Linked DNA regions of Arabidopsis thaliana. The protein of the gene in region 1 purifies or fractionates together with the protein of each later gene. This does not show direct contact. Each region holds a gene or a part of one and is shown on either strand. Other genes may lie near its edges.

Region 1 (7,053 bases):
CTCTCATGAACATCATCATAGGATGTGAAGAACTCATCTTGTCCCTCAAGTCTGTATCAATACAGTACAATTAGCAGCTAGAGCATGCGGAGAGAACACACTCAAGAATGAAAAAACAGAAGTAAAAAGACTCACACTTCATTGAGTTTCTGGTCAAACTGACGTGCATCAAACTGTGTGCCTTCTGGTGCAGATCCTGCCATGCTACATAAAAAGAACAAAAACAATCAGATTTCATATCAAAAGGAAGAGAGACAACACCTATTTTGATATCGTTAATAATATGATTGCAAAGGAGGAAATGTGACAAGAAAGCCAAACTCGAAGTCCATAAAGAGAGGAAAACAAGCATTAATATCTGCCTCAGATGATGTGCGGAGAAAATGTATAAAGGCACATATGGTTATCTATTAAACATAGACACCACTCAACCTATTTCTCCAAATTACAAAAAAAAACATTCAATCAGACAAAACCAAGTGAGTGTTAAGACAAGAACATCTGAGCTTTGAAGACGATTCATTTCATTCTATTGAGAGACTAACCTAGCCGTAACAAAATCTACAAACCCATCAACAAATCTACAGATGTGTAGATCCTAAATTTAATAATCGTCATCATCAGCAGCTCAGAATCTAATAAAGAGAACAAAAACGAAAGCACTTCCACAGCAAAAAAAACGATCTTGAAGTAACGAAAAATCAAAACTTCCAAATCAACTCAACAAAGTTGAAACCAAATCTATCGGAAAACACAAAAAAACAAATCAGAACAATCCAAAAGTAAAGAAACAATCATGAATCGTAAAAGTTACATCGAGATAATAGATAGACAATCCGATAGGATGCGAACCTGGAGCAAAGTTGGTAAGCGAGAGTAAAGGGCTTTTTTCAGGGAGCTTGAATCTCCCAAACTCGGATCTGAACCGCGTTGAGAGAGAGAGAGCAAAGAGAAGAGCGAAGATTGCGAGAGACTGGTGGAATATCCGAAAGAGGCTGAGAGAAAACGCGTTACCTTGTTTATATACTCCGTCTTTAGGGTTTTCTCCTTTGGAAATCTTCTCCTTTTCTTTTTCGGATTTCCGGTTTTACCCCTTTATTCCCTTTCTTTTTACTCTTTTGGCTCGGACAAGGTTTTCCAACACTTAGCTCATTGTCTTAACTTGATTTTGGCAAAAATAAATAAACAAATATCTAGTGGGAAATTAGGAACATAAATTCTTCATTTATTTTGTGACTAGCAAAGAAAATATTCTTCATTTATTTTATTTTCTTTTCCAAAGCTTTCTTTCTCCTGCAACTTTTATTGCTTTTTGACGTTACAAAGCATTTTCCCGATTACAACGAGGATATTAGAAGAATAAAGTGACTGATAAGAACGTTTTATCTGAAAATGTCTTTACTTATTAACACATCTATCTCTCTATGTTGAATGTTTAATCATGTAATTGTTCCACAAGTGATATGAAGAATCCTTGAAACGAAGCAAAACACATTGAGTAAGAAGAAGGTAACTAGCTAGTATGAAGAAGCAGCAAGTTGCTATCTATCTTCAACAAAAAATGCTTTGATTTTAGCCTCAAGAGACTTTCTTAGAATCTGTTGCCATTGAAGAAAAAGCTGGAGAGGGCAAAACATAATCATGATGCTTAGGATAAGCAAAAAATATGTATTTAGCTTGTGTAGGTAGAGGAAGAGCTAGGAGTTTTTTGTGTGACAGGAATCGAGGGAAAACGATGGGCCAAAGATTAGGCCCATTAATAAGTTTGACTAATCCCTGCCGTTCATTAGATGCCTACGTAATCACTAACGCACCTGATGATCTCTGTCTTTTGGTGAGACGCAAAAGCTCAGAGAATAATAATAGGGCCCAATATAATAAAGTACAAACCGAAATTTGTGAAGCTTAATTAGTCGGTTTAAATACTTTTATATCGGTTATGGTAGAATTGGTGTTGGTACGATACAATCTGGTACATGTAAGGCAGCATTTTGCCATTTCTGAAAAACCTAAACACAAAACTATCTTCATCATCATCATCAAATCCCAGCTTTCTTCCAAGTGATCCTTCACTCTCTATACTGCGATTTACCGTTCTTCTGACTCTTGGTGAGTTCTAGATCGAATCCTATCTTCCATCCACATATTTACTGTTTCAAAATTGGATTGAGTACAAGTCAAATTCATCGATCTCGATCTCTGATATAGTTGCCGAGGGAAAAAGGAGAAACCCCCTAACAAACATTCCCACCATTTTTTTTGTTATTTGCAGTTGCGAATTCGGATCGGCTGACGCAGCTCCGATTGCACAACAATGGCTTCTCGTATCATCAATCATTCCAAAAAGGTTTCTCTTTCTCTATTTTTCATTTTTTTCTGTGGTTTGACTACCATTTTTGATCTTGTAAAACTGAGTTTATGCATTCGTTCTTATGTGTTTTGCTCTGCCAATCATTTTTTTCTGAACTGAGGTTCGTTTTCCGGGTTTGACTTAATCTAATCATGAATTTGGTATTTTTAATTTGATCATGGGCAATTCTGCATTTTGCTATTGAGAGCTTTAGTAACCTCCTTGTAATCTGAATTGTGATTAATGTAGTAGCTTCGCTTTATGATTCAATTGTGGTATTAGCTATTCATTTTATTAGTACAAGAAGACTCTACTTTTACAGCAGAGTAATTGTATGTTGCTCTTTGTAAACACTATTTTGACGATTGTTGTGTTATCTGACCAGTTGAAACATGTTTCCGCTTTACTGCGGCGTGACCATGCTGTGGCAGTCCGCTGTTTCTCCAACAGTACCCACCCCTCTCTCGTTGGAAGAGAAGGTAATCCAGTCAGCTTTCTTAGTGTCCTCTTCATTGCTATCCTTAAGTTCATTTTATGTAGAAATGTGTGGTGGTTTCTTTTATTTGATACGGTAACAAGCACCACACAGTACTCTGGGATGAATAGTCCAAGTTTGACTTTCACATCGTTTTCAACATGAAGAACATAACAACGTTCCAACTTTAATTAATTGAAAGTTGGTATGTTTTGAGTATATATTATGCTTCTCGCTTAAGCATTTATTTTTCTATTTTTATTTGGTCTTCAGATATCTTCAAGGCCCGCCTGAATTATTCCTCTGTAGAGAGAATTTCAAAATGTGGTACTGGCAATGTAAGTCCCTGCTGTTCAGTTTCCTTTCTCGTCTTTGCTTTGTCACGTAATCGTCTGTGTTTTTTTGGTCGTAATGTCATTAGCTGCATTATATAGGTAACAATGCTTAGTGGTATTTCAACAACGAGCACAAAACTAAGCAGCCCAATGGCAGGACCAAAACTATTTAAAGAATTTATAAGGTATGTAATCCATTTACCGATGAGAATACAACTTGCTACCTTCCTGTATGAATACTTCTATCCTAACTGTAAGCTTCTTTTCTTGCTTTTAGCTCCCAGATGCGATCAGTGAGAGGATTTTCATCCAGTTCAGGTATTTAGTTCTTTATTGTAACTTCCCGCTTGTTCTAACATATATTTTCACTTGAATTGTACTTTTTTTTGTGAGCATCTGACTTGGTTTTTGTGCCTTTTGCGGCCATCATATTTCTGTCACTGTGTATATGCAGCATACATGGTTTGTTTTACTGATAACTTTTTAAAATATGTTTCAGATCTTCCTCCTCATCAAGAGATTGGAATGCCTTCTCTTTCGCCAACAATGACTGAGGCATGTACCTCTGAATACCTCTTACGAAAATTAACATGGTTTATTGTTTTATCATTCTACTAAAGATATCTGTTGAAACTTCAGGGTAACATTGCCAGGTGGCTGAAGAAAGAAGGTGATAAAGTTGCTCCTGGTGAAGTGCTTTGTGAAGTTGAAACTGTAATGATAATCCTGATTGAATCTCTTCCTGTATTGATTCTTATGCCAGGAATAAAACACTTATCTCAATCTTAATATTTTAGGACAAAGCAACAGTCGAAATGGAATGCATGGAAGAGGGTTTTCTCGCCAAGATAGTAAAGGAGGAGGGGGCAAAAGAAATTCAAGTTGGGGAGGTATGAGAGTTTCTGACTTTTGGAGACTTGTTAATTATAATGGGTTCTCATGAAGTATTTGATTGTGAGCCCTATGCTCCCTTTAGTTGAAGATCAATGAATATTCAATAAAAATGACAAAGATCTTTATCTTCATTTGTAGAATCACATATAAATGGTCCCTTTTTTTTTTGTCCAACTAGGTGATTGCTATCACAGTTGAAGATGAAGATGATATTCAAAAGTTTAAAGATTACACACCCTCATCCGATACTGGTCCCGCTGCGCCTGAAGCAAAACCAGCTCCTTCCCTACCAAAGGAAGAGAAGGTAGAGAAGCCAGCCAGTGCTCCTGAAGCCAAGATCTCTAAGCCAAGCTCAGCTCCTTCAGAAGATCGTATTTTTGCCAGTCCTCTTGCAAGAAAGTTGGCTGAAGATAATAATGTCAGTTTCCAGACGAAAAATATTAGTTAAGCTCGTGTTAGATCTCCATCTCTAATTTGTTTTTCCTACTTTTCCTTTGAAAAACATTAGGTACCTCTCTCAAGCATTAAAGGCACAGGTCCTGAAGGACGGATAGTGAAGGCTGATGTCGAAGATTTCTTAGGTATCAGAAATCCTTGGCTCTTCCCTCTTCTTACATTTTCCCCTCTCGTTACAGAATTTACCTCATCCCTATGTTCTAAATTTCTAATACATCTTCCTATGGTACAGCTTCAGGCAGTAAAGAAACTACTGCCAAACCTTCCAAGCAAGTGGATTCAAAGGTTCCAGCTCTTGACTATGTTGACATCCCTCACACTCAGATACGAAAGGCAAATACCTATACAACCTTATATCTTGATTGCTTGTGGTATTTCTAGATTACCTCGACCATATATCTCTCTGTTTTGTACTATAAGCCAAGAATTCCGAAGTTTTGTTAATTGTATAAATTTGACAGGTCACAGCCTCACGTTTGGCATTCTCAAAGCAAACTATTCCTCACTACTACTTGACCGTGGATACATGTGTTGACAAAATGATGGGGTAAGTATTAAGTTTTAGATCATATATTTTGATTAGGTAAGTGGATGCTAAACATAGCTATTTTTATATGCAGTCTTAGGAGTCAACTCAATTCATTTCAAGAGGCTTCCGGTGGGAAAAGGATATCTGTAAATGATCTTGTTATTAAGGTGCATCTTACTTCTTTTCTTGCAAGTCTAATTAAATCTCATTTTGTTCTCCATTATGAAACCTTTTCTTTTTCGAAATTGCAGGCTGCTGCACTGGCTCTTCGAAAAGTTCCTCAGTGCAATAGTTCATGGACAGATGAATACATCCGCCAGTAAGTACATATTCTGTTTCAGAGGTTCATGAAAACTTTGCAAATCATCTAGTTTCTTGGTTCTTATTTTCCTCCTTTTATGTACAGATTTAAAAATGTGAACATCAATGTCGCTGTACAAACAGAAAATGGGCTCTACGTTCCTGTGGTCAAGGTTAGGGAGCTCTTGATACAGTTATTAACCTTCCTCTGCAGAAACTTGAGATTTCTGAAAAACTCAGTTCATCTAATTGCTTGATTTCAGGACGCGGACAAGAAAGGACTGTCTACAATTGGAGAAGAGGTTCGATTCTTGGCTCAAAAAGCAAAAGAAAACAGCTTGAAGCCGGAAGATTATGAGGTTGGTTTAGAATTCGGTCAATCTCACTAGCATAATACTGCTGTGAAAGCAAATCAGCTCAAACTGTTTCTTCTGACAGGGAGGAACATTCACAGTCTCCAACCTGGGGGGACCTTTTGGCATCAAACAGTTCTGTGCCGTCATCAATCCACCTCAAGCAGCCATTCTAGCAATCGGATCTGGTAAGTCCTTAGCATACTCATCCACTTTATCCGTTGAAGTTTCTTCCGCGTAACTTATTATAGTGTTGGTGTCTGAATCTCAAAACAGCTGAAAAGAGAGTTGTTCCCGGTACTGGTCCAGACCAATACAACGTTGCTTCATACATGTCTGTAACACTAAGCTGTGACCACCGCGTAATAGATGGTACAGAATCCGCCTCTCATTCCTATTGTCATTATTAATCATCACCTCATCGAAAACGTCTAATAAGTCATCTTCCTGTGCAGGTGCAATTGGAGCCGAGTGGCTGAAAGCATTCAAGGGCTACATCGAGACCCCAGAATCTATGTTGCTCTAAAATTCAGACGCACACACACATCAAAAGCTAAACTCATAAGAGTCTTCTGACCTCAAATTTCTTTCCCACAACATATTCTACCAGATTTGATCAGCAGTAGGCAATGGCCTTTAAAGTTGAGTGTTTTGCTATTCTTTAAATCATTGAGTTGACAGATTTTTGTCTCAAAATAAAATCAGGAATCCAACAATTTCACTGTGCACTTGTTTTTTGGCTTAATGCTTGTTCATCATGGGTTGGCAAAATAAAACCCATTTACTTAATTTTATTAATCAACTCCAATAAATATCTCTTTCTTCTAATAAAATGTCACTTAGTTCACTATCATGGACTTAGAGCAGTTTGCTTGCTTAAATGCCAAAACATCATATATCATTAAACCCAAGAAACAGATGTCTTAGGAACTAAAACAATTTATAATATCTCAACAGACCGTCAAAGAAATATCATTAAAATAGCAGAAAATATGTAAAGATAGAACAAAATCTTCTCCTAGATCGTCATCACTTTCGTGCCCTGCGCCTCCGGTTAACCTCCGGGAAATTGAGAGGGGTCGGTAAGGTAGCAACCGTAGTAGAATTCTGCTTCAGGAATTTGCAGCCAAGCTGTAGAAAATGTTTCCTCAGCTCAACTGTGCTTATCCTCAGATCTTTTGCTATGTCTTCTGGATCGGTCATGAAATTATCCACGTGAAGGGATAGCACAAGAACGTAGCTTATCAGAAGGTTGATCTTGTCAACAGGTATCCTATCTGATTCAGAATCCTTGAACATGCTGTTGAATTTTTGACGGAAGATGTCTGGCATCTTGTGGTCTTTAGCGGAATCGTAACCAT
Region 2 (6,529 bases), 1.2 Mb from region 1:
CATCTGACATTTTTGAATCTCAGTTTTGGAAAAAAAAACTCTAACCGGAGATAAGTTCATACTTGAATTAACGAGTCTTGTTATGGTGTGACACAGTTGGAGTACGGTTGCCTGGAAGATATTTGATACATCAAAATGGCTATGGAGAGGTGAGTCAAAGAGAGTTTGGTGTTGATTGTTAAACATGGATGGTAATTGATCTGTAAATTATGTGAATGGGAAAGGCTACTCTCGATCTTTCTGCAACTGGTTTAGAATAAAGTATACATAACGAGACCTAATCTCTGTTGTATGAAAAAGAGAGACAGAATTAACAAATAGGTATTGTAGTTATTTGTCTATTTCTGTAACTGGGTTCCTATGTGACTTTGGTGTAATCTAGACTTGTATATTTGTAGAATAAAATTGCAAGTAACCAGAGAAATATCTTATGAACATTTGTACATTAAACTAGGTTCATCTTGTTTGTTTGTTTGACAAAAAAAAAAACTAGGTTCATCTGTCACTTCACGTCTGAATCTGATTGATAATAATGGACAGACAAGTGATTTTACTAGTAAAAAGAGAAGAATCATCCAAAATCGTTCACATCAAACAAACATACAATAACCAAAACCACAATCTCCACTAATTGAAACCATGGAACAATTAAACAAATATAAGTGAAAGCAGAGACAAGACTCCAACAGAAATATTCTCAAAGAAAGAAGAAGGCCTTGTAGATATATCTTTCAAGTCTTTACTTACGGAAGGTTGTTTCTCATCATCTCCTCCTCTTCTTCTTCCTTTTCGATCTTCCTGGTTCGTGTTTAGCTTTATCTTTGCATCTCCCTAAAGTACAATCACAAATTTTCTTTCTTCAAGATGTTTCTCCCCACCCCAATAAGTTTTTGGTTTCTTATTATACAACCACTTTTTCACTTACTGTCCTTGTCGTAGCATGACTTTCAACCTGAAAAATTGAACTTATAGTGTAAGATTCTTTTGCTTTTTAGTAGAGGACTTAAATCTATTGATTGCAGTTAAGAATAAAGGGGCTCTCTGATCAATGGCATGAGGAGACTGTTTTGCTTTACCTTGGCTGCTTTGAACAGTTCGTCGAGGACCTCAGAGAGTGTTGGATGTGCATGAACTGCCAATTTTATGTCCTGCAGAGATACCATTAAAACATGCAGGGGATCAAGAAACAGATACAAATAATGCGTTTAGTAGTTTCAGCAGGAACTATGTATATGACTTGATTTCGCTGTAGGATATTATCAATATCAAAGGCTACGAGCTAGATTCAATAGTAATCACTAATCAATGAAATCCTACCTGAATACGCGTTCCTAGAGCAATCGCATTAGAAGCTTCATGGATAAGGTCAGCTGCATGCAGTCCAAATATATGAACTCCTAAGATTTCACCATTGTCAGGTCGGTATATCATCTGCATAATGAAAAGCAATGAGATCTCTATGTTCTTTCATGAGACATAAATAAATCAACAACTTTTGCTTCTCCCACCTTAGCTATTCCTTCTCCTTCATTTTCAGCTAGGGCCTTTGTGTTAGCCTTGAAACTTGTCTTGACAACACTAACTTTAAATCCTTCCTTCTCGCCTTTTTCTTTTGCTTGAGGCTAGCAATAATGTCAAAACATAAGGAGTTACAGTAAGCATATTTTGCTCATAGCATTCTTCTTTTTGACCCTCTTCTGTACACAAGTACTAGGATATAAAACTACCTCTGTTAATCCCACCATGCTGATTTCAGGATGAGTAAAGCAAGCAGCTGGGATGCTAAGATGATTAAGCACATGATCTCTGCCGCTGACTTGCTCGACCACTAGCCACAGAGTAAGAGCTCAGAGTTTAATACAAGGCTCAAGAAGAAAAAAGGGAAAATATTATTGCATTGTTAGTAGCCTCCTACTGATAAGCCATTTACCAGAAATTCCTTGGGCACTGGCTGCATGTGCAAGCATCAATTTACCATTGGCATCACCAATGCAGTACAAGTTCGGAACCTATCACAAGTAGAAATGAATTTAGCATATAGAAAGAATTGCTGACAAGGAAAAGGTATGTATATGCAAATAAAACCGACCAGAGTCCCCTTTCCATCGATCACACGCATTCGCTCATCAACTGGTATGAAACCTCTCTGCGTCACAACATTGACCTGCATTGAGATGACAGCTTCAAGGTTAATTTTCTGACAACTAAACATTCTCTGGTAACCAAAATGACAATACTAAAAGGTGGGATTTAGTGTCATTTCATACATTTTCCAAGCCAAGTCCATTGGTGAATGGAGCTCTCCCAGTAGCAATAAGAGCAGCATCTACCTGGAGAAGGAAAACAAAATTACACTTTCAGCGCAGAAAATCACATGGTACAATGAAAAGAAACCAAAAGACATGACTATTTATATTCTATCTTGAGACGAAAGGCCACAATAAATTCAGAAAATGAGAAGCTTTACTAATCCACCTATGCATAATGTGTATACTTACATTTCTGTGGGAAGAGTAACAATGTGGTTAATACTGCAGCGAAAAGCAAAAAAGTGAAAAACAAGACTTCTAAGGACCCACTACCAACGGCACAAATCTTCCCAATTCAGGCATGAGACATCAGATCATGTTAAGGACCCAGTAACTGTTAAATATTCTCTTTGTGAGACATCAGATCATGTTATCTTTTAAATTCCATTTGGTTACCTCCAAAGTATCCTTAGGTTCCTTGGTTTTGGCATCAATAAGCTCAATCAGAACTGGTTTCCCATCCCTTGCCGGAGTAATCTGAATAAGAATAGATTTAAGTTTAACAGATGAATACATGGACACACTGTATAGAGAAAGAGAAGCAGTATTTGCAATGCATGATATAACAGGCTCACTTTGCTTGCAAAGACTCCAGTATGATAGTCAATCTTTCTTGGATTTATCAAAACCCTCTGAGCTAGCTTACTGATCTCAGGATCAAATCCAGGCATTAGCTGATCCAGTGCTTCTATAAAAGTTACCTGCACAAAAGGTTTCCGTTTTCGATCAGTAACTACAATTTAAATCGAAAAACCAACAGATTGGTACCTTAAAATCTTATTTTCTACTATTTACACAAAAACAAGCTCAATACAGGAAGAGACCAAACAAAGAACTAGAAAATTGGAGAACATTGCTAATTGCAGTTATTACAATCTCAAGTACAAGGACACAACATCACAAAGTCGTACTAAAGTAATATCATTAGTACAGAAACATCATGTTACCTCACTTCCAAGAGCTGTGTAAACATCACTGAACTCAAGACCAATATAACCACTTCCTACAATTGCAATCCACTCAGGGACAGACTCTAATTTCAAAGCATGGTCACTGGTGATCACAGTCTTTCCTGCAGCGCCAAAATGTAAACATTCAAGGAATAATCAAGTCTGCATGCTCCCTTAACAACTCTACGTCCAAAACAAGAAACGTACCATCAACTTCAATTCCTTTAGGGACAAACGGCACAGATCCAGTGGCAATGATTATATCTTTTGCAGTAATAATATTGTCCTTCCCATATTTAACCTTTTGTGGACCCTGCAGAAATACAAAATATTGATATGAGTTAGGATCATCGTTTAAGAAAAGTTTGTATCATGTTCCTGTCTACAGTTAGTAAACGTGAAAGAATAGAACGTACTACTGAGTACTGACCAGAACACTGCCAAATCCAGTCAATATGTCAACACCAATTGCCTTCATTGAATTGGTCAGATTGTTTCGTATTTTGGTAGCCAGATTATTAGCATGATCTGCCACACCCTGACGATCATATCCAGCAGCTGAAACCTGTTTCCCAAAGGAAAACCAAAAACCATAAGATAGTGAAAGGTAATGAGTAATTCCTGAACTAGCTCGATCTTCTACAACCATTTCACACCAAAGACAAAGCTTGCAACTTTAAACAGAGAACATGAGTTGATATTTACCTGGAGACCAAAGGACTTCATGTGATGTTCGTTCTGAAGTTCCCGCATTCGACCACTAACAGCAAGAAGAGCTTTAGAAGGCACACATCCTCTGTTAACACAAGTCCCTCCAACAACATCTCCTTCAATAATGGCTGTTTTAAGTCCCTAACACAAACAAAATCACCAATGTTTCCATAATAAGCAGAGCAAATCTTTTACTTTCATCAAATCAGGTTATATAAGAAACTTCAAACCTTTTCAACGGCGTGCAAAGCAGCTCCGTGGCCACCAACTCCAGCTCCGATGATGATCAAATCGTAATCGAAAGATTTCGGTGGAGCGCCATTACCATTACTTGAAGCAGAAGCGGAGACTTGGAATGACTTCCTACTTAGAAATTGGATTCGGTTACTGCGAATAGCCAACTGATTCGACGTTGAGAAACCAAACGCTTCCCGCCGGAGTCCGCAGAACCGGAGACTTCTGGGCGTAGAGAAAACAGAACCAGATGATCCGAGCACGTGGTTTGGTCTTGTAAACGACGTCTGGGAGAACGAAAGCGCCATAGCTGATTGCATTCTAAGAGACACAGACAGAGAGAGAGAAAACGAGGAAGACGCAGCTGACAAATCTACCGGCGGAGACAGAGTGAGTGTAAATAGCCAACAAACGGAGGCGGAGTTTTCAAAGCCCGCTTTGTTTGTTTGTTTTGTTTTGTTTAACCACTTTTTTTTGTACACGAGGCATTTACGACTTTTCTTTCATTTTTTCTAACCTGGTTTAAGTCTTAAAAAGCCCATTGGGTCAATAGACCTCGTAGCCCATTTTTGGCTGTGAATATATATTTAAATTAATTTTTGGATTTTGTAACAAACTTAAAAACAAATCGCTTAAAAAACTAGTTTCTCTAGATTTTAGGAACTTTTTGGATAGTGAAGTTGATTTTCAAAATTAAAATGCTTTATGAAATACCTCGTAGCCACTTCACGCTCATAAGATCGTGTAATTTGTTTCATTAGGGTTATGTTATTACTTGCTCGACAGTTCTAGTAGTGAATTAAAAGTAGCCAGCAAGATGTTGATTTCGATGAAGAATGTGGAACTCGCATGGGAACTCATTAACCACTACTGCCAAGAAGGCTCGCTGCAGCGTCGTCCAATCAACGAATTCTTTGACTTTACAAAATATAGCCGTGGTAATTTATATAATCCATCACCTGAAAAACAAGCAAGGTAATTAATTATATCTATGCATAAATATTCATGAAACAAATTGCTTGCTTTTTTCCTTAATGGTTTTTAATTTTATTTTTCATGTTGTCCTGGTGCAGCCGTGGGCCGAGGTTGACGCATATTGGAAATTACCTTCTTTAGTTAAGGACATGTATGTATGATAAGGAAGGGACAATCTTACATGGACTTTTCCCTGAGATTTGACGTGCATGGTTGTTACACGATCGTTCTATGCTTCTATGGCGTTTTGAAGAAAGGTAAATTATATAAAACAGTTCACAACTTCAAGTACGTTTTCGTAATTTTTTGCTTTGTATTCACCAACCAGTAATGGACGAATTCTGGAGCACAAAAGCGAGGACGACCACCCTATTTTAGTTGTTGGTCTAGTGAAACGTAGATCAGATTTTGTTGAAGCCAGCGCCGCGCAATATCTTTTGGTGCTAGCAACTCATCTTGAGACTTGAGTTACTTTTTTTTGGAGTGTATTTCTGCTCTAAAAATGGTGTAGATCCTCTTGCTCAAGTAGCCAAAGAAGCATGATAAAGTCATTTGGTAAATGGTAACATGTTTATGATCATTATGCTTAAATTCTCTGTGTTTCAAGAAAATGCAATTGTGTTAACTTGATTTTTTCTATATTAACTTCGGTATATACCGAATAAAAGGCTCCAAAAAATCGATTTTAAAGATCAAATGTTTTATTTTATTTTATTAATTTATTTGTTAGATAAATAAAGGTAGCTACACAGAGCAGTAATGTTAAAAAAAATTCAAATATTTTGAGAATCCCAAGGAGGACAAAGATCAAACATTCCAGTCTTTTTGTTCAGTTTGCAAGGTCCTTCTTCACGTATCTTCCATTCGCATCTTTTGCATCCAAACATTGCAGATTCTTGGTCTCTTTCTTGTATGTATATACGGAAATAACGAAACACTAGTCTCCAAGCAAAAGTGCAAATGAATTTAGTATCTCCAGAAACACTGGGTGTAAATTCAAATGATCACGATCCACCAGCTAGCATACGTCGGAGTCCAAAATCAACGTCTTTTGATGCACAATGGTATGCCATTGGCCAATAACCTGAAAGAGCGTTATGTATCACCACTGTTGTATTTGGGTTCTCAACACTTGGTGGTGAAGCCATGGGGTTTTGAGCGAGGGACATTGTTACACTTGCACACATAACGATAATGAGAGCTACAAGTTCTGCTAGAGCACCCATGTTGTTTTTGTTTTTTGTTTTCCTTGCAATATGAAAGTATATTGAATATGGACTCTTTCCACTTAGTACTTTATTGTATTTATAATACCAAACTTTATTGATTATGTTTCCCTAACAAGCTTCT
Region 3 (5,832 bases), on another chromosome or scaffold:
CTGAATGGAATAATAGAGGAGGAGTGGGTGTGTTGTGTTGTGGAGGAACTGTAAATTTGTGCAAATGACGAGGGGCAATTTCGACCTTTTAAGAAGCGGTTTTCAGAAAAGTTTCAAAGGGTGTTGTGGTAAATTGATCCTGGAGCTGGGAAATTTCCATAGAGCGTCTTGTCGTTAGTTTTTCTTTTTGTTTGGTGGATAGTCTTGTATTGCGTTATGTGACTTGTGAGATTTGACGCTAAAAAGCTAAAACGTTTTTTAGTTTGTCTAAAAGTTCTCCTGCTTACTGTCTTTCTTCTGTTATATATTTTGGATTTCTGACTTATAATAAATATACTTTAATTTTGTGTCTGTCACAATCTGTTTTTTTTTTTAATCTAATAAAGATACAGTTTGTCAAAACCATGAAACAAATATACGTGATGAAACTAGAGACGCAATCTTCGTCCTTTGATGAATATTGGTGAAGTACAAATGTCTTTTCCACAAAACTTTTGTTACAGGCTGCTCTTAAATTCTTCATGTTTACACAGTAACTTTCACACTTTGTGCTGTTACTGAAGCTGGACTATCGACCTGAAATTGATATAGACAGGAGTTGCTTGCCTTTTAATCGAGATTCGATGTCTATTGATTAGAGAATGCAAATGTAGATTCTTGTATTTTACCTTGGCTGCTTTAAACAGTTCGTCTACAACTTCAGACAGTGTTGGATGTGCATGAACAGCAAGTTTTATGTCCTGCATTTATCATCACACAAAGACACACAAAAAAAGCTCACAATCTAAAGTCCTATGATCAATACCGGAGAGAGGTTAGTTTGCAGCCAGACCTGAATACGTGTTCCTAAAGCAATCGCGTTTGATGCTTCATGGATAAGATCAGCAGCATGCAATCCAAATATATGAACTCCAAGGATTTCACCATTGTCAGGTCTGTATATCATCTGTTCACATGAAGAGAGTGTTCAGATATCTTATCTTCGCAAGTCACTCCAGAACTATATACAACTATCTTTTTTTATTTCAATTTTTGGTTCTTCTCTTCACCTTAGCGAGTCCTTCTCCTTCATTTTCGGCTAGGGCCTTTGTGTTTGCCTTGAAACTTGTCTTGGCGATACTTACTTTGAATCCCTCTTTCTCAGCTTTCTCTCTCGCTTGAGGCTGGGAATTGCATTAAAGATTACCGAAATCATAAATTAGGATTGCAATTTTTTAAAAACCAATCCACTAAGAGTGTCTAGAGGTTACCTCTGTCAATCCCACCATACTTATTTCAGGATGAGTAAAACAAGCAGCTGGGATGCTAAGATGATTAAGCACATGATCTCTACCTGTGACTTGCTCCACCACTAGCCAACACAAGTAGATGCATAGAGTTTAATAAAGGTCAATCTAACGTATTCAGTGTAGAAAAGGAAAAACAAAAGAAAGATGCATTTGGAGTGAAATATTGATAAAACCATTTACCAGAAATTCCTTGAGCACTAGCTGCATGAGCAAGCATCAGTTTACCATTGGCATCACCGATGCAGTACAAGTGGGGAACCTATCAACCAAGAGTGACTCAGTAGCTTAAAAATATATAACTTTTGGTAAGAAATAAGCTATATGAAAGAAAACTCCACTAACCAGCTTTCCATTTCCATCAATAACACGCATTCGCTCATCAACTGGTATAAAACCTCTTTGTGTGGTAACATTGATCTGTGAGGAAATCACAGCTTTTATTATTTCTTTAGTAACCAAATAAGGTCCTCAGGGAACGAAAATGAAAACATATTCATAAGGAATGGGGTTTATTGTTAATTCATACATTTTCCAGGCCAAGACCATTGGTGAATGGAGCTCTTCCAGTAGCAATTAGAGCAGCGTCAACCTTGAACAAGGAACTTATGGTCAAACTTTCAGTGCAGGCAAAAAACACATGAAAGTCTCAAATGTGATTGTAACTCCAAGACATTCTATTATTATTATTATTATTTTAATTTTTAGGAAAAGATCTGATTTTATAATACGAAAAGCCCTGGCTAACCTACAAAAGTATGCATGTCATTGATTTATATACTTTGCATGTGAAAAGAACATGTGTGAGAGTAACTAGACAACTATTTTCTCTTGTAAATTTTCAGATATCTGCAGAACATTTTGTTACCTCCAAAGTATCCTTGGGTTCCTTGGTTTTGGCATCAATTAGTTCAATCAGCACTGGTTTCCCATCCTTTGCTGGAGTGATCTGTAAAGAAGCGTTAACAAAAAAAATTCGTAAACCCACTGTGTAAGGAAGATATCTAATTTAAAATGCATGAGACAAAAAGGCTTACTTTGCTTGCAAATACTCCAGTATGGTAGTCAATTTTTCTTGTATTTATTAGAACCCTTTGAGCCAGCTTACTGATCTCAGGATCAAATCCAGGCATTAGTTGATCCAGTGCCTCAATAAAAGTTACCTGTAAAAAAAAAAAAGAGTTCCCCTGAGCTTGGTCACTTCCTGGAGTTGCAGAGCATCACAAACCTTAAGCAAAATATAGCTATCGCCCATTTGCTCGATCAGGTTACCAATACAACAACATCCTAAGAGCCTTTTGTTACTATTGAGAGAAAACAGAAAACTAAAGAGAACGCAAAAAACAACACACTATCACACCAGTGCAAATCATTAGCACAAAATCAAAATGTTACCTCACTTCCAAGGGCCGTGTAAACATCACTGAACTCAAGACCGATATAACCACTTCCTACTATCGCAATCCAGTCAGGAACGGACTCCAATTTCAATGCATGATCACTTGTGATAACAGTCTTTCCTGCAGCACAAAATATGAGGAATATTAGGGTACTTGCTATACTAAAAGAAATGAGAAGCTTTGGTTTTTGAGGCAACTCCCCTTTCACATATCATTTATACAAAAACACATACCATCAACTTCAATTCCTTTCGGGACGAACGGTACAGATCCAGTTGCGATGATTATATCTTTTCCGGTGATAATATTGTCACCATATTTAACCTTTTGTGGGCCCTGCAAAGTGCACAAAAGACTAAAGAGTATTAGGATCACCACATAACAACGACCTATCATTTGGAGTTTATATAGTCAACCAAAGACAATAACATACTGACCAGAACAGCGCCAAACCCTGTCAATATGTCAACACCAAGTGCCTTCATAGAATTGGTGAGATTATTCCTAATTTTGGTAGCCAGGTTACTTGCGTGGTCAGCCACACCTTGGCGGTCATAACCAGCAGCTGAAACCTGTTTTCCAAGGGAGTCAATGGAAGGAAACAAGAGTCAAGGCCAGGAAGATGATACTTGCTTCACAATGATTTGAGATCAAAATTGAGCGTCTACAATTGCATTCTACAGGAATTTTTACTACCTGCAAACCAAAAGCCTTCATGTGATGTTCGTTCTGGAGTTCCCTCATCCTACCACTAACAGCAAGTAGAGCTTTGGAAGGCACACAGCCTCTGTTAACGCAAGTACCTCCAACAACATCTCCTTCAATGATAGCAGTTTTGAGTCCCTATACAACGTTATCAAAACAACAATCACTCGATGAGATCATGAATACCGTAAAGAAATACAGTAATAGCTAGTACGATTCCAAAATTGGCATATTGAAGAAGATGTTGCAAAGCATTCCTGAACCATCTCTATCAAACAAAGCATATGATTCCACTATCAATTTGATCCAGAGTATTGGCAAAGCATAGAATCATAATCGAACTTGAATTCTTCCTAATTAATAAGAGGAAGAAAGAGGACCTTCTCGACGGCGTGCAATGCAGCTCCATGGCCACCAACTCCAGCTCCGATAATGATCAAATCATAATCGAATGATTTCGATGGAGCTCCATTTCCAGCGGAAGAAGAAGCAGCGGCGGAGACTTCGATTCTCCTACTCTGAATATGGAAACGGCACGAGGTCAATTGCTTCGACGGAGAGAAGCAAAACGCTTCTCGCCGGAGTCCACAGAACCGGAGATTTCTCGGCGTAGAAGGAGCTGCGTTGGATGAACAAAGCGTACGATTCGCTAAAGGAAGCGATGCTTGTGAGAAGGAAAGAGAAAGAACCGATTGCATTGTGTACGAGAGAGTGAATGAGAGATCTGTGTAGAGAAAAAGGGAGTGACGGAGATGACAAGTCTGTACTAGTCTCACTCCGACGAGCGGAGGCGGAGATATCAAAGCGGAGATGACACGTGTCACGTTTCTCGTCTTTAAACCGGAGATTTCAAAATTCCCGGCTATAATATCCAACTCTGAGCCCATTGGGCCTTTTATTTCTCGGTCTGCCTGACGTTATCTTGTGAGAGCCACGTGGGGAAGGAGAACGGCGAACAGTTCAAACGGCAGACTCCGACACGTGTGGAAAAGCAGAACACGTGTCAAAAGAACGCTGTTCTGTTTCACAATCTTCTCCTTACTTGTTGTTGAAGAGAGAAGTATTAACAGAGAAAGAGAGAAGCAACAAGTGAAGAAAGAAAGAAAAAAATGGAGAAGAGTGGAGGAAGAATTGTAATGGATGAGATAAGAAGCTTTGAGAAGGCACACTTGTTCGATCTTGGTCATCCTCTTCTTAACCGTATCGCAGATTCCTTCGTTAAAGCCGCCGGAGTAAGTTTTCATCCATATCTCTTCGTTTCCCTGTCGTATATGCATGTAACATATATGTAGTAACATAGCTTAATATGGATTAACTATGAAGGTGGGAGCTTTACAAGCCGTGTCAAGGGAAGCTTACTTTACCGTGGTTGACGGTAAGAAACTCCGGCGGGTTTCTTCTTACTTATGATTTATATGTATAAGAAATGAGTATGTAATGTAAGAGTGAAAATGAATAAATAGAGAACGTACTTTAGTTTGATTATACATTTTAGGGGCAGGTTTTGACTCGAACAACGTGGGTCCACCGTCGGAGATTACAGGGAACAAGAAACATAGGTTCCCTAATCTCAGAGGTCCGTAACATAATTGTATCATATTTGGTTGATGATCTTATGTAATCAGCATTATGTTTATCTTAATGATGTTTTATCGTTGTTTTCTTAATCAGGGGAAAGCAGCAAATCTCTTGATGCATTGGTGAGTTTATTACAATCGCTAATTATTAGCCTTTTATTATTCGTCAAATATTCGTGTGCTAGTGTGCTAGTGTGTTCATATCTAAGTGTTGCAAAATAATACATAAAGAATGGTCGTAACTCATAAGGTTTCTTGTTAGTTAACTGAAAATGTTTAAATTTGTTGGCCTATAGGTGAAGAACACAGGAAAAGAATCTCTCCAATGGGGTGAGTTTATATATGAATTTGATTAAGTTAACGCTTCACGATTAACGTTGGAAAGAGATTTAATGATTTGGGAATGGTAGGGCTAGCGGCAGGGTTATACTCAGGTATCACTTACGGTATGACAGAGGTTCGTGGAGGAGCTCATGATTGGGTTAGTCTAATTAATTTGACTTGTGTCATTTTGTTTTCATCAACGAACAAATGATGAACATGATCTTTAATTAGTATGTAATTTGATATGTGTCACAGCGGAACAGCGCGGTAGCTGGAGCATTGACAGGAGCGGCAATGGCTATGACGACGTCTGAGAGGACAAGCCATGAGCAAGTGGTTCAGTCTGCTCTCACTGGAGCAGCTATTTCCACCGCTGCTAATCTCCTTTCTAGCGTTTTCTAGATGATTTGTATTAGAAGCTTTAATGCATAAGGGTTGTTTCATGTATCAGTTATGTTTCTTTTTGTGAAAACGAATTCGCTAAAGGTCTACTAAGATCTTTTCCTGAAACTCTCGAAGCTGGAGAGAGATCGTTTTGTT

Evidence for each region.
Region 2: the proteins of AT3G13930 (region 1) and LPD1 fractionate together in Arabidopsis thaliana (co-fractionation; one large-scale study listed by BioGRID). This does not show direct contact.
Region 3: the proteins of AT3G13930 (region 1) and AT4G16155 fractionate together in Arabidopsis thaliana (co-fractionation; one large-scale study listed by BioGRID). This does not show direct contact.

The regions. Positions count from the first base shown.
Region 1 is NC_003074.8:4,593,926-4,600,978, forward strand, and holds AT3G13930 (Dihydrolipoamide acetyltransferase, long form protein), read left to right. Parts: upstream 1-1,841; 5' UTR 1,842-2,109; intron 2,110-2,272; 5' UTR 2,273-2,314; coding exon 2,315-2,347; intron 2,348-2,735; coding exon 2,736-2,829; intron 2,830-3,098; coding exon 3,099-3,163; intron 3,164-3,259; coding exon 3,260-3,345; intron 3,346-3,437; coding exon 3,438-3,478; intron 3,479-3,659; coding exon 3,660-3,715; intron 3,716-3,799; coding exon 3,800-3,874; intron 3,875-3,957; coding exon 3,958-4,050; intron 4,051-4,232; coding exon 4,233-4,472; intron 4,473-4,562; coding exon 4,563-4,635; intron 4,636-4,742; coding exon 4,743-4,843; intron 4,844-4,971; coding exon 4,972-5,057; intron 5,058-5,130; coding exon 5,131-5,206; intron 5,207-5,290; coding exon 5,291-5,358; intron 5,359-5,445; coding exon 5,446-5,512; intron 5,513-5,602; coding exon 5,603-5,698; intron 5,699-5,777; coding exon 5,778-5,880; intron 5,881-5,968; coding exon 5,969-6,064; intron 6,065-6,147; and 3 more. Other genes in the region: EIF4A1 (eukaryotic translation initiation factor 4A1), read right to left, coding at 1-51, 136-204, 322-332; AT3G13940 (DNA binding / DNA-directed RNA polymerase), read right to left, coding at 6,722-7,053. UniProt on the Arabidopsis thaliana protein: The pyruvate dehydrogenase complex catalyzes the overall conversion of pyruvate to acetyl-CoA and CO(2).
Region 2 is NC_003074.8:5,785,860-5,792,388, forward strand, and holds LPD1 (lipoamide dehydrogenase 1), read right to left. Parts: upstream 4,667-6,529; 5' UTR 4,525-4,666; coding exon 4,201-4,524; intron 4,112-4,200; coding exon 3,965-4,111; intron 3,825-3,964; coding exon 3,690-3,824; intron 3,573-3,689; coding exon 3,467-3,572; intron 3,382-3,466; coding exon 3,257-3,381; intron 3,011-3,256; coding exon 2,885-3,010; intron 2,787-2,884; coding exon 2,706-2,786; intron 2,331-2,705; coding exon 2,268-2,330; intron 2,165-2,267; coding exon 2,090-2,164; intron 2,010-2,089; coding exon 1,931-2,009; intron 1,829-1,930; coding exon 1,728-1,828; intron 1,623-1,727; coding exon 1,509-1,622; intron 1,432-1,508; coding exon 1,318-1,431; intron 1,149-1,317; coding exon 1,077-1,148; intron 953-1,076; coding exon 926-952; coding exon of another isoform or gene 902-925; exon of another isoform or gene 832-901; coding exon 649-831; 3' UTR 526-648; downstream 1-525. Other genes in the region: AT3G16940 (calmodulin-binding transcription activator), read left to right, coding at 97-126; AT3G16960 (plant self-incompatibility protein S1 family protein), read right to left, coding at 5,953-6,086, 6,195-6,405.
Region 3 is NC_003075.7:9,153,045-9,158,876, forward strand, and holds AT4G16155 (dihydrolipoamide dehydrogenase), read right to left. Parts: upstream 4,090-5,832; coding exon 3,772-4,089; intron 3,530-3,771; coding exon 3,383-3,529; intron 3,259-3,382; coding exon 3,124-3,258; intron 3,023-3,123; coding exon 2,920-3,022; intron 2,807-2,919; coding exon 2,682-2,806; intron 2,450-2,681; coding exon 2,324-2,449; intron 2,236-2,323; coding exon 2,155-2,235; intron 1,879-2,154; coding exon 1,816-1,878; intron 1,707-1,815; coding exon 1,632-1,706; intron 1,549-1,631; coding exon 1,470-1,548; intron 1,352-1,469; coding exon 1,251-1,351; intron 1,164-1,250; coding exon 1,050-1,163; intron 947-1,049; coding exon 833-946; intron 741-832; coding exon 669-740; intron 577-668; coding exon 526-576; downstream 1-525. Other genes in the region: ATOEP16-2 (Mitochondrial import inner membrane translocase subunit Tim17/Tim22/Tim23 family protein), read left to right, coding at 4,501-4,623, 4,715-4,766, 4,887-4,967, 5,063-5,091, 5,265-5,298, 5,379-5,449, 5,548-5,694. UniProt on the Arabidopsis thaliana protein: Lipoamide dehydrogenase is a component of the plastidial pyruvate dehydrogenase complex (PDC).